3 linked regions of the Saccharomyces cerevisiae S288C genome follow. The gene in region 3 interacts genetically with the main gene of each other region. Each region holds a gene or a part of one and is shown on either strand. Other genes may lie near its edges.

Region 1 (3,281 bases), on a different chromosome or scaffold from region 3:
GTTGATCATCGACAAATCAACGGAGCAAATTAGACCTTTTGCTACCGCTGCTGTATTGAGAAATATCAAGCTTAACGAAAAATCTTACGCTTCTTTTATTGCCTTGCAAGATAAATTACATGCCAATCTATGTAGAAACAGAAGCTTGGTTGCCATGGGTACTCACGATTTAGATTCAATTGAAGGTCCATTCCATTACAGAGCTCTACCACCAAAGGACATCAAGTTCGTACCATTGAATCAAACCCAAGAGTTTACTGGTGACAAATTGATCGAGTTTTATAAATCTCCAGAACAGAAAAACAACATAGGGAGATACGTTCACATTATTGAGGATTCTCCAGTCTTCCCAGTTATTATGGACAGCAAAGATCGTGTTTGCTCCCTGCCACCATTAATCAATAGTGAACATTCGAAGATCTCTGTGAACACCCGTAACATTTTGATTGATATAACCGCCACCGATAAGACCAAAGCCGAGATCGTTTTGAACATATTAACTACAATGTTCTCACGTTATTGTGACGAACCATTCACGGTTGAGCCTGTAGAAATTGTCTCTGAACACAATGGCCAATCCCGTTTGGCGCCAAACTTCAACGATAGAATTATGGATGTCTCCATTAAGTACATCAACTCCTGTCTTGGCCTAGATCAATCCGCTGATGAAATTGCTCATTGTCTAAAGAAGATGTCGTTGCATGCCGTTCAATCAAAGGAAGACAAGGACATCTTGCACGTTGACATTCCGGTAACTAGACCTGATATTTTGCACGCTTGTGATATAATGGAAGATGCCGCTGTCGGTTATGGTTTCAATAATTTGCCAAAGGGTGAGAAATTATCCAATGCCAACTTCATTGCCAAACCATTACCAATCAACAAGGTTTCTGATATTTTCAGAGTTGCATCCTCTCAAGCCACGTGGGTTGAGGTTTTACCATTGACCTTATGTTCGCACGATGAAAACTTTAAATTTCTAAGACAATCCGACAATGGTGATTTAGCTGTCAAATTGGCCAACCCAAAGACTTTGGAATACCAAGTTGTTAGAACCACTTTATTGCCTGGTATCTTAAAGACAGTCAAGGAAAACAGAAAACATTCCTTGCCAATCAAAGTCTTTGAAACCGGTGACGTTGTATTTAAAGACGACAAACTAGAAAGGAAGGCGTACAATGAACGTCACTGGGCTGCCATCTACGTGGGTAAGAATTCTGGGTTTGAAATCATTCAAGGGTTATTGGGTAAAATCATGCAAACTTTTAGAACAGAGTGGATTGCAGACTACGGTGCTGCTGCTTCTGGCAGAGGTTACTGGATTGAAGAAGACGATTCTGTGAAAACCTACTTCCCAGGTAGAGGTGCCAAGGTCATGTTCAGATCCAAAGAAGGCGCTGAGCCAAAGCAAATCGGCCACTTGGGTGTCTTGCATCCTGAAGTCATGATGAATTTCGACGTTCCATTCGCTGCATCCTTTGTAGAGGTTAATGCCGAAGTCTTCCTATAATGTAATGTTCTAACAAAAATTTTTACTGATTTATAAAACTTATATAGATAGATAGACACATATATATATCTATATATAGAAACACAACTAAAGTTTACCATGTTTTATATAATATTACTACCGCTACTGAGTAAATGTTTAGCTTGTACTTAACTTTCAAAGACAGTTTTTTTGATAAACATCAGTACATTTAATAATACATCCATACATTTATGTTAATTTGTTTTTCCTTTCCACCTCAGTGCGCTTCTCTTTTGAAAAAATCCTCAACAGGCCACGCGAACAAATCTTACCGAGAATTTCCTAAAATGTTTCAAACTATCATTTAGCTGCATACAATATGTACATTATTAATTGAGATTAACAACTTTACCTGTACTTTACCGTTATCAAATTATAAACCACCAAAACAACAGATTAAGAAACAATGGCCCCAAACGTATGATACTTTAAAAGGAATCCACGCCCGATTACGAAGTCTATGTTTTACTGTTATTGTAATGATTGATTGTACGCGAATAACAAGGAAGATAGTAAAACCAAAAAAAAAAAAATAAAAATGTACGAAACGAAGAAGCGTCTATGTGTTTAGTTGCTTTTCTGTATTTTAAAAATTCACTACTTGAACATTGAACTCTATATCGACTCCCTTCTTTTTATCCGTTTCTGAATGTTTTTTTGTTTGAGATTGTCATATGTGATTGTTAATAGCAGTAGGCAACTTTGTGGTTTCGGGATTGAAAGAAAATCGTGAAATATTCGTTTTTTACTAACATTACTGTTCTGAAAATTTTTACTAATTTTCAATCTTTAATTTTTTTGATATAGACTTCCAGAAAGCAAAAGATTGCCAAGACCTTTACCGTCGATGTCTCTTCTCCAACTGAAAACGGTGTCTTCGACCCAGCTTCCTACGCTAAGTACTTGATCGACCACATCAAGGTCGAAGGTGCTGTCGGTAACTTGGGTAACGCTGTCACTGTCACTGAAGATGGTACCGTTGTTACTGTTGTTTCCACTGCCAAGTTCTCTGGTAAGTACTTGAAGTACTTGACAAAGAAGTACTTGAAGAAGAACCAATTGAGAGACTGGATCAGATTTGTCTCTACCAAGACCAACGAATACAGATTGGCCTTCTACCAAGTCACTCCAGAAGAAGACGAAGAAGAAGACGAAGAATAAATTCATTAATATTATTTTAAATAGAGCATAAGTTTTGTATAATTAAAATCTTCTAAACCTAATAAATATGTTTAATGAATGATTCAATATCAAAAAAAGAAATCCATTGGGCCCTTAGTGCATTTTTATTTTTTTTTTTTTTTTTTTTTTTTTTCTCTTTCTGAATTAGAGTACATCTCATCGCAGGGTCTCTTTTTGCACGTTTTTGATGTTGCTTATGAGACGCTTTGCCTTTTTAACTTCTTCAGTATATTTTAAATATATACCAATTTATTCACAATATCATTACTCTTCTCAGTTTCCAATTAACATGAATCCTAAAAAAGTGGCCCAATTGCCCGTTCACAATAAATCAACGCTTCCACCACAGGAAATAATCGATCTTTTTAAAATAACATTCTTAGAAGAGCTATATCCAAAAGATCAAGACAATGAAAAGTCACCGTTAACTGAACAAATACAGGCGGTAAAATCTGACCTTTATAACAGAGATTACAATGCTGCTTTCAATAACGACTCGAAAAGAATAGCATATTGTTGTCGTTGGTCACCGTCCAGAGCAACAAGTTACGCATCAGTATTTGCACAT
Region 2 (2,848 bases), on a different chromosome or scaffold from region 3:
TCTCCCAAAAAGCAACAGAGATATCTCCTCCACCAGTTTCACCTAGCAAGATGAAAACTACCAAAACACAATCCAAACAGGATACCGCTTCTAAGATGAAGTTATTAAAAAAGAAAATTGAAGAGCAGAGGGAAATATTGCAAAAGACTCATCACAAGAATCAACAGCAACAAGTGTTGATGGATTTTCTGAACGATGAAGGGAGCTCCAACTGGGTTGACGATGATGAAGAGGAGCTTATCCTTCAACGTTTGAAGACCTCTTTGAAAATATGATCCCTCCCATCACATGGACACTTTTAAGCACGTTTTGCTTGAAGAGACATTAGTTTACACCATTATAATTGTTTAATAAATACTAGACATACTTCAAGTGAGAAAATCAATCACACCTTTTTCAATGATTAGCAAATCTTTATTGCCAGGCCTAACTGAAACGATTTATTACTGCGCAAGAAAACAAAGATGGAAAAGGCTATGCTAGTTCGATTAGTTGTTTCCTTATTCTTTAGAATATTATATATGTATATATAAATAAATGGCTTTCATCTTATTTCGAATAAAAATGTTTTGGGTGATGTGTATTGAGCATACACACTTAATATCAAAGAACAATTATAAAGATGCTATGAACGGATGTTATTTTTACCTAACTATGCCTTCTTGGCTTTGATACCTCTAATAGCATTTGGAATGTATAGAAGTGGTGTAACGACGGCTACCGCAAAAATAGCATAAAATGGATACAGGTATAAAGCTGACCTTGGATGTCTCCACCATAGAGGTTTAGTGGAAGATTGGAAGATTTTCTGTAGTTGAATAACTTTATTAGCCATTATTTATTATTGTTTTGCTTTCTGTACTTGTTGGTTTAGAATCTTATATCGAGTTCTACTATTCATGGGATGAATAAATAATATCATCTTTTATTTCTATCCGCCTTTTCAAACCTGCCCCTACCAGGCCGGATTTCTCGGACGATGCGCGGCGTAGCCAATCAAGTACTGCCTTTTTTTTTTTTTGCTGACACTATATGTATACGTGCATATAATCAAACAATAAAGCAATTGTAAGCGTCAGCAATTCTAGCTGTACTAAGATCGTAGTGATTATATGCGCTTATATTTACATGGTATGAAGAATAAAATTTGAATAAATAAATAAACGTACTCTTTACGAGTACAAATCTCAAAACTAAAAGAAAAAAAGGGTTACATCTTGTTTCCAAATAGCGTCTATAGAAATGTAGGGTATAAGTTGATGCAAAGGTTTTTAGCGGTGTGTATGACACACAAATATTTACACGTGAGAGAAAGGAAGGTAAATAACTGAAAAGATTACTCCTCCTCCTTTTTATTCTCTTCAAAAAGCTTCATTTTCCTTTCATTTTGCTCCAACTTTAATAGTGAAATCTCTTCATCAAACCATTCTTTTAAGAAAAGTGTTAACTTTCTCATATTCTCAAGCCCCTGGTATTTATAGTCCACATATCTAAGTACTAACTCGTCAATGCGATCCTTTATCTCCTTGTTATCAATGGAAGCAGCAGTTGAAATGTAAGCAGGCCTTTTCTCAAAATATTTCATAAAGCCTTTGATTTGTCTAATGCAACCTGGAGTAATCAGGCTTGCCCTATGATTACAATTCCAGTCTTTTAAAATCCTACTAAACCGTTCGCTTTCATGCATTCTTGACGCCAACTTTAAAGATGTCATGTAATACATCATCCACTGTTTGTTATTTGAAGTATCCAAATTTTTTCTAGCTTGTGAAATTAGGTAACATGCATATTTGAAATCACGGGTGTGGAAACATATTTGAGTAAGTTGTAAATAGTTTTGAACTGAAAGCTCCTTTTGATGTACTCGTTCAAATTCCTTCAGTTTGAATTCCAGTTCTTTTAAATGTTCAGCAGACAACTTTTCAAAAGATCTATAATTAGAAATGATCTCCCATTTCAACCATAATATATCGACTTTTAGTGGGATATAGCGGAATCTGGTCCTTAATATCACATCAACTACACGTGCCAAACCAGTTAAAGAGTTTCTCAAGCATAATGCCAAAACGGAATACAAAAATGAAAATTGAGGCGCAATGCCCTCCTTCAAACTATTCGAAATCACCAATTCTGCTCCATATACATCATTGTGAGAAACTTTTTTCTTGAACTCTTCAAACCTTTCAAAATCAACCGCGTTGAAACCAGATAACGAAGAGTCTTCTCCTCCATTGATCTTTCTCGTATGGATATGGGCATTTTCTTGTAAAAATGTGTACACCCAAGTGAGACATTTGCTGTATTGGCTCCTTTTTAGAGTCACAAGTAGGTCATTTGTAATTTCTTTTGCCAGCATTGGATAAACATTTACGGCACATGACCATAATTGTTGAATAAATGCGGGCCGTAATCGCGTTTTACCATCAGTGGTTTTAACTACACTGCGATAATATTTGAAAAGTCCTTCGAATTGATTGGTGTTGACAAAATACCTAGAAATGCACAAATGAAACGAACCGTCTATGCTAATATCATTATCTCTCTGGATTTTTTCCAAGATTACTTTTAAATTCTCGAAATTGTTAGTAGAGACGTACGCTTGAACCACTGACATATATAGCTCTTTTCGTGTTGAAATATTATTATTAAGTCTGGTAATAAATTTATCAACTCTTTCCATCAATATTGAGTCATCAATGCTTTTTGTTCTGTCTCCTTTGATGCAATACAGAGAATGACAAAATTCAATCAACTCAAACTGCACACTTGATGTATATCCCGTACTTAAAACAACGGGATTGGTTAAAAAATCGTTTAGCTCATCTGTATTAGAAAAACGTAATAACAT
Region 3 (3,765 bases):
TGCGCATTTCTATTTGATGTAAGTAAGGAAATAGGAGAACTTTCATAGCCCATGGCTAGTTCGGTTTTCAGTAAACTATATACGTATATGTTAAGAATATTTCGGAGTGTCTAGATAATAAAAGAACATCGTTAAACTTATGAATGGTGAAGGAGGAGAAGTCTCGTTAAAGAATTCCTGTTGTAGAAAAAGTCAGTTCTGGTTACGAGAGGAAAATGTTGGAAGTTTATATCCCATCCTTTTCCTTTTCCCAGCATTTCTTTACAAACCGTTCCATGTTGACTTTTTTTTTCATTTGCCCTACAATCCAGGGATGCTTTAACATTTGCCTGGGAGAAGGCCTCTCTCTGGCATCTTTTTTTAAACAATAGTCGATAAAAGATCTAAATGTCTTGCTCCAGGATATGTCTAGTTCTGGCTCATCTTTCAACTGGGGAGAAAACGTCAGGATCATCGTCAATAATTCTATAGGAGCCACGTTTTGCGTTATTTTGTCAGATTCAAATGGAAATCTCCCTCCAGCAACCTCCAGAAGAGTTAATCCTAAGGACCATACATCACAGGTTACGCTGTATGGTTGGCCTTGTATTCGTTCTGGGGCCATATAAAATGACGTTCCAGTAAATGTCATCGCTAAAGAGTTAACAGCCTCCCCACTGACACCGAAATCGCATAATTTGATTTCCCCTTTTTCATTAAGAAGAATGTTTTGGGGTTTAATGTCCCTGTGGATGACTTTCCTTTCGTGTAAGTATGATAAACCTCTTAAGACAGATTCTGCTATCTTTCCTATCACCCTCTCACTTATTCTACCGCCACGTTTCAACAAATTTTTATACGTTGCCTCCAGTGATTTTCCTCCCATATATTCCATGGCAATGTATATTGAAGAACTCTGTTCGTCGGTAAACATACCATAGTACTGCACAATATAATCGGACTTAAAACTCTTATTAAATTGTAGCTCTCTGAATATTTGCTTTTGATATTCTGGGTCAGTATTCATAGTGTTGATTGTCTTCAACGCAAAAACCTTTTTTCCATTTTTTAATCGGCACTTGGCTACAGAACCACCCGCGCCTTCTCCTAGAATTCCTAGTGTAGTAATCTCATCCTTGAGATGCCCAAACCTCCATGCTTCTTCCTCTAACTGGTCTACGTCTTTTCCTTGTATTAAGTTGGAACAAGAAATTATGTTATTTGCACTTAAAGGGGCGGAGTTGCTCCCGCTACTGCTGAAGTCGTACGCAGAAAGAAGTGTCGAGGGGTATGAATCCTCGCCTTCTGGTGTGTCGAGATCTTTCTTGATAAAAGTGGTATCTATGTTGGATAACTTAGTGGAAATTGGAGCACTAGATAGTAGTTCCTTGTAAGTTATATCAACATGCAAATTAGAAAATCTTTCAGAAAGCTGACTATCGCCGGCAACTCTATATTCTATACCGTCTTTTTTTTGCGTTAGTACTAGGGGAGGTAATGGAGGTGGTACCGGTCTATTTTTAATAGTTGTAGTAGATGATCTATTGTACAACAAAGTGGAATTTGAAGCCATGGATGACGTAGTGGAAGTAGCTGAAGTGCTATTGTTGGAGTATGGGCTTTCGTTCACTGACGAGTACGGTGACCGGTTGAGATGTTGCCCATCATTAGTGGATTTCGCATTTTGAACTAAATTTACTGGAAGCGTTAATTTTGGAGTCTTTTGGTGACTCCTATTGGATTCTGGTGGTCTGAACATTGAAGCCATTATCCTGTGTATATAATTGGTATTTTGTAGATATGATAACAGTGCCTGCTATGCTAATCAGGTAATACTTGCTACTAGTAAAATGTCTAATTTTTTGAGCGAACGAATTTCATGCAAATTAGAAGGTAGCCAACATATAAATATATGAATATATATGTGCCTACGTGTTTGATGAGGTTTTCAGTAAAATTAAGCGGAAAGTATTGAGCTTTCCCAACTGATCCCTTTGATTTATTCTCTTTCTAATTCTTCAACTCTAAGGATAAAGTTTATTTCTTTTTGATTTTTTTTCGCATTGAGAAAGTGAACATAAACAAGGGTAAAATAGGCTCAATATCAGTTCACCTTTGAGAGTCTGGCAATAAGAGATGTGGTTCTAAGGTTACCTTATACATTCTAAACTCTGAAAACGCGTTTTCAAAGGTATGTACATTTCTCTATATTAAAGAGTAGATCCTTGCCGTTTATATATACATGTAGAGCAATTCTCAAGCTAATAATTAATGTTTACTTCAGACAATAAAACATTAAAAACAAATTTTTAGAAAAACAAAAGCTGAAGTAAAGACTAAATATTACACAATTTATTCATACATTTCCGCCCCAAACTCAAACAGCCTAAATAATATAAAAATTAACTTTTGGCAGCTCCAACCTCTCTACTGCCATCTAAAACTTTTCCAGTAAACGGCTTATATACAGTTAACAACCCGTCACTATCAACTGTAGCAACTAGATCCTCAATGTATTTGTGATAAGCAACGGTATTAACCTTATTATTTTCTCCTATTTCTCTTCTGCAGCCCTCAGTGTGATAAAATGCCATGCTTTCGGCCTCCAATTCGTCAGATATTATGCCTTGAAAGTCCTCATGTATCTCGTTATAAATGGCAAAAACAGGTTCGAAATTCCAGTGGTAAACATTACCTAACCCTCCAATTGTAACCACTTCCATAGGCGAAATGGAAGAAAACTCTATTTTGGACACTTGCTCGCTATAAAAGTGATGAACTTTGAATAGTTCATTGACTTTATTATGTCCTTGGTTGATATTTAACTCAGCATCAGCATCCCCTAAAGCGATAACTGCACGTATATCCCAAACCTTGAGAGCCCCACCACTAGTTCCCGTCATAAATAATGTATCAACAAACGGTGATGCAGCAAAACAAGTTGTTTTGCCGTCCAAAGAATCGTTTAGAATCCAAAGGGGCTTTTTGCCTATCTCATTACCCCAAAACCTTATGATACCGTCATCAGAACAAGTGGCGAATATTTGATTATTCAAAAACTTGATTTCTTGAATATTCTTTATGCCAGGAACAGGTATTGTACGAAGCACTTCTCCTATTTTACCTGAGTTGTCTATCAATTTTATTGTAGCGTTTTCATTATCAAGATGTTTTTCCTTAGTTACTGTTAAGGTTTTTGAATCGTTAGAAATTGCAAAATCAACACAGGGTTTATTTTGATTTCCGGACGATGCTGAACTTAGAGAAGTGGATGGCTCCATCATTGTGTAAACGGGCGATTTGACACCTTCTCTGAACCATGCCAAAGAACCATTGGTAGAAAGGGCTATCACCTTTACATTTATTTCGCTGTTATCCACGTAAATCATCTTTGCAATCGTTTCACCTTTAAATTCCCATTTTGGAATCAAAACAGTCTGCTCCACCTTTTGAGATTCCATGGTATAATCCGGTTGTACTAACGGTTCTGAAATGCTTTCAGGTTTTTTGTAATGAAGTCCGAGTGGCACTATACAATCCACCTCAAAGATTTCACTCCCTTGAGAATATAAAAGTGGTACGCTCAAAACACCTTTGGATTTATTACATGAGCTATCGTTAGTGAAAACTATACTCCTAAGTGTCGATGGAGATTCGTCAACGCCTGAGCCAAAGATAGGCTTCAAACTTGAAATATGTTGGTATAATGAGGGTATTGATTTTTTCCAAATTTTGAATTCTTCATTTTTTATTTTGTTGTCTTCTGCAATATCTAAAGTGCTCATT

Evidence for each region.
Region 1: mutations in MKK2 (region 3) and RPL22A together harm fitness more than expected from each alone (negative genetic interaction), as found in Saccharomyces cerevisiae (2 studies listed by BioGRID).
Region 2: mutations in MKK2 (region 3) and COX7 together harm fitness more than expected from each alone (negative genetic interaction), as found in Saccharomyces cerevisiae (3 studies listed by BioGRID).

What each region holds. Positions count from the first base shown.
Region 1 is NC_001144.5:261,257-264,537, forward strand, and holds RPL22A (60S ribosomal protein eL22 RPL22A), read left to right. Parts: upstream 1-1,937; coding exon 1,938-1,949; intron 1,950-2,338; coding exon 2,339-2,692; downstream 2,693-3,281. Other genes in the region: FRS1 (phenylalanine--tRNA ligase subunit beta), read left to right, coding at 1-1,510; BMT6 (25S rRNA (uracil2843-N3)-methyltransferase), read left to right, coding at 2,901-3,281.
Region 2 is NC_001145.3:778,293-781,140, forward strand, and holds COX7 (cytochrome c oxidase subunit VII), read right to left. Parts: upstream 836-2,848; coding exon 653-835; downstream 1-652. Other genes in the region: GFD1 (Gfd1p), read left to right, coding at 1-275; PET111 (Pet111p), read right to left, coding at 1,337-2,848. UniProt on the Saccharomyces cerevisiae protein: Component of the cytochrome c oxidase, the last enzyme in the mitochondrial electron transport chain which drives oxidative phosphorylation.
Region 3 is NC_001148.4:287,288-291,052, forward strand, and holds MKK2 (putative mitogen-activated protein kinase kinase MKK2), read right to left. Parts: upstream 1,748-3,765; coding exon 227-1,747; downstream 1-226. Other genes in the region: UME1 (Ume1p), read right to left, coding at 2,382-3,764. UniProt on the Saccharomyces cerevisiae protein: Serine/threonine protein kinase involved in a signal transduction pathway that plays a role in yeast cell morphogenesis and cell growth.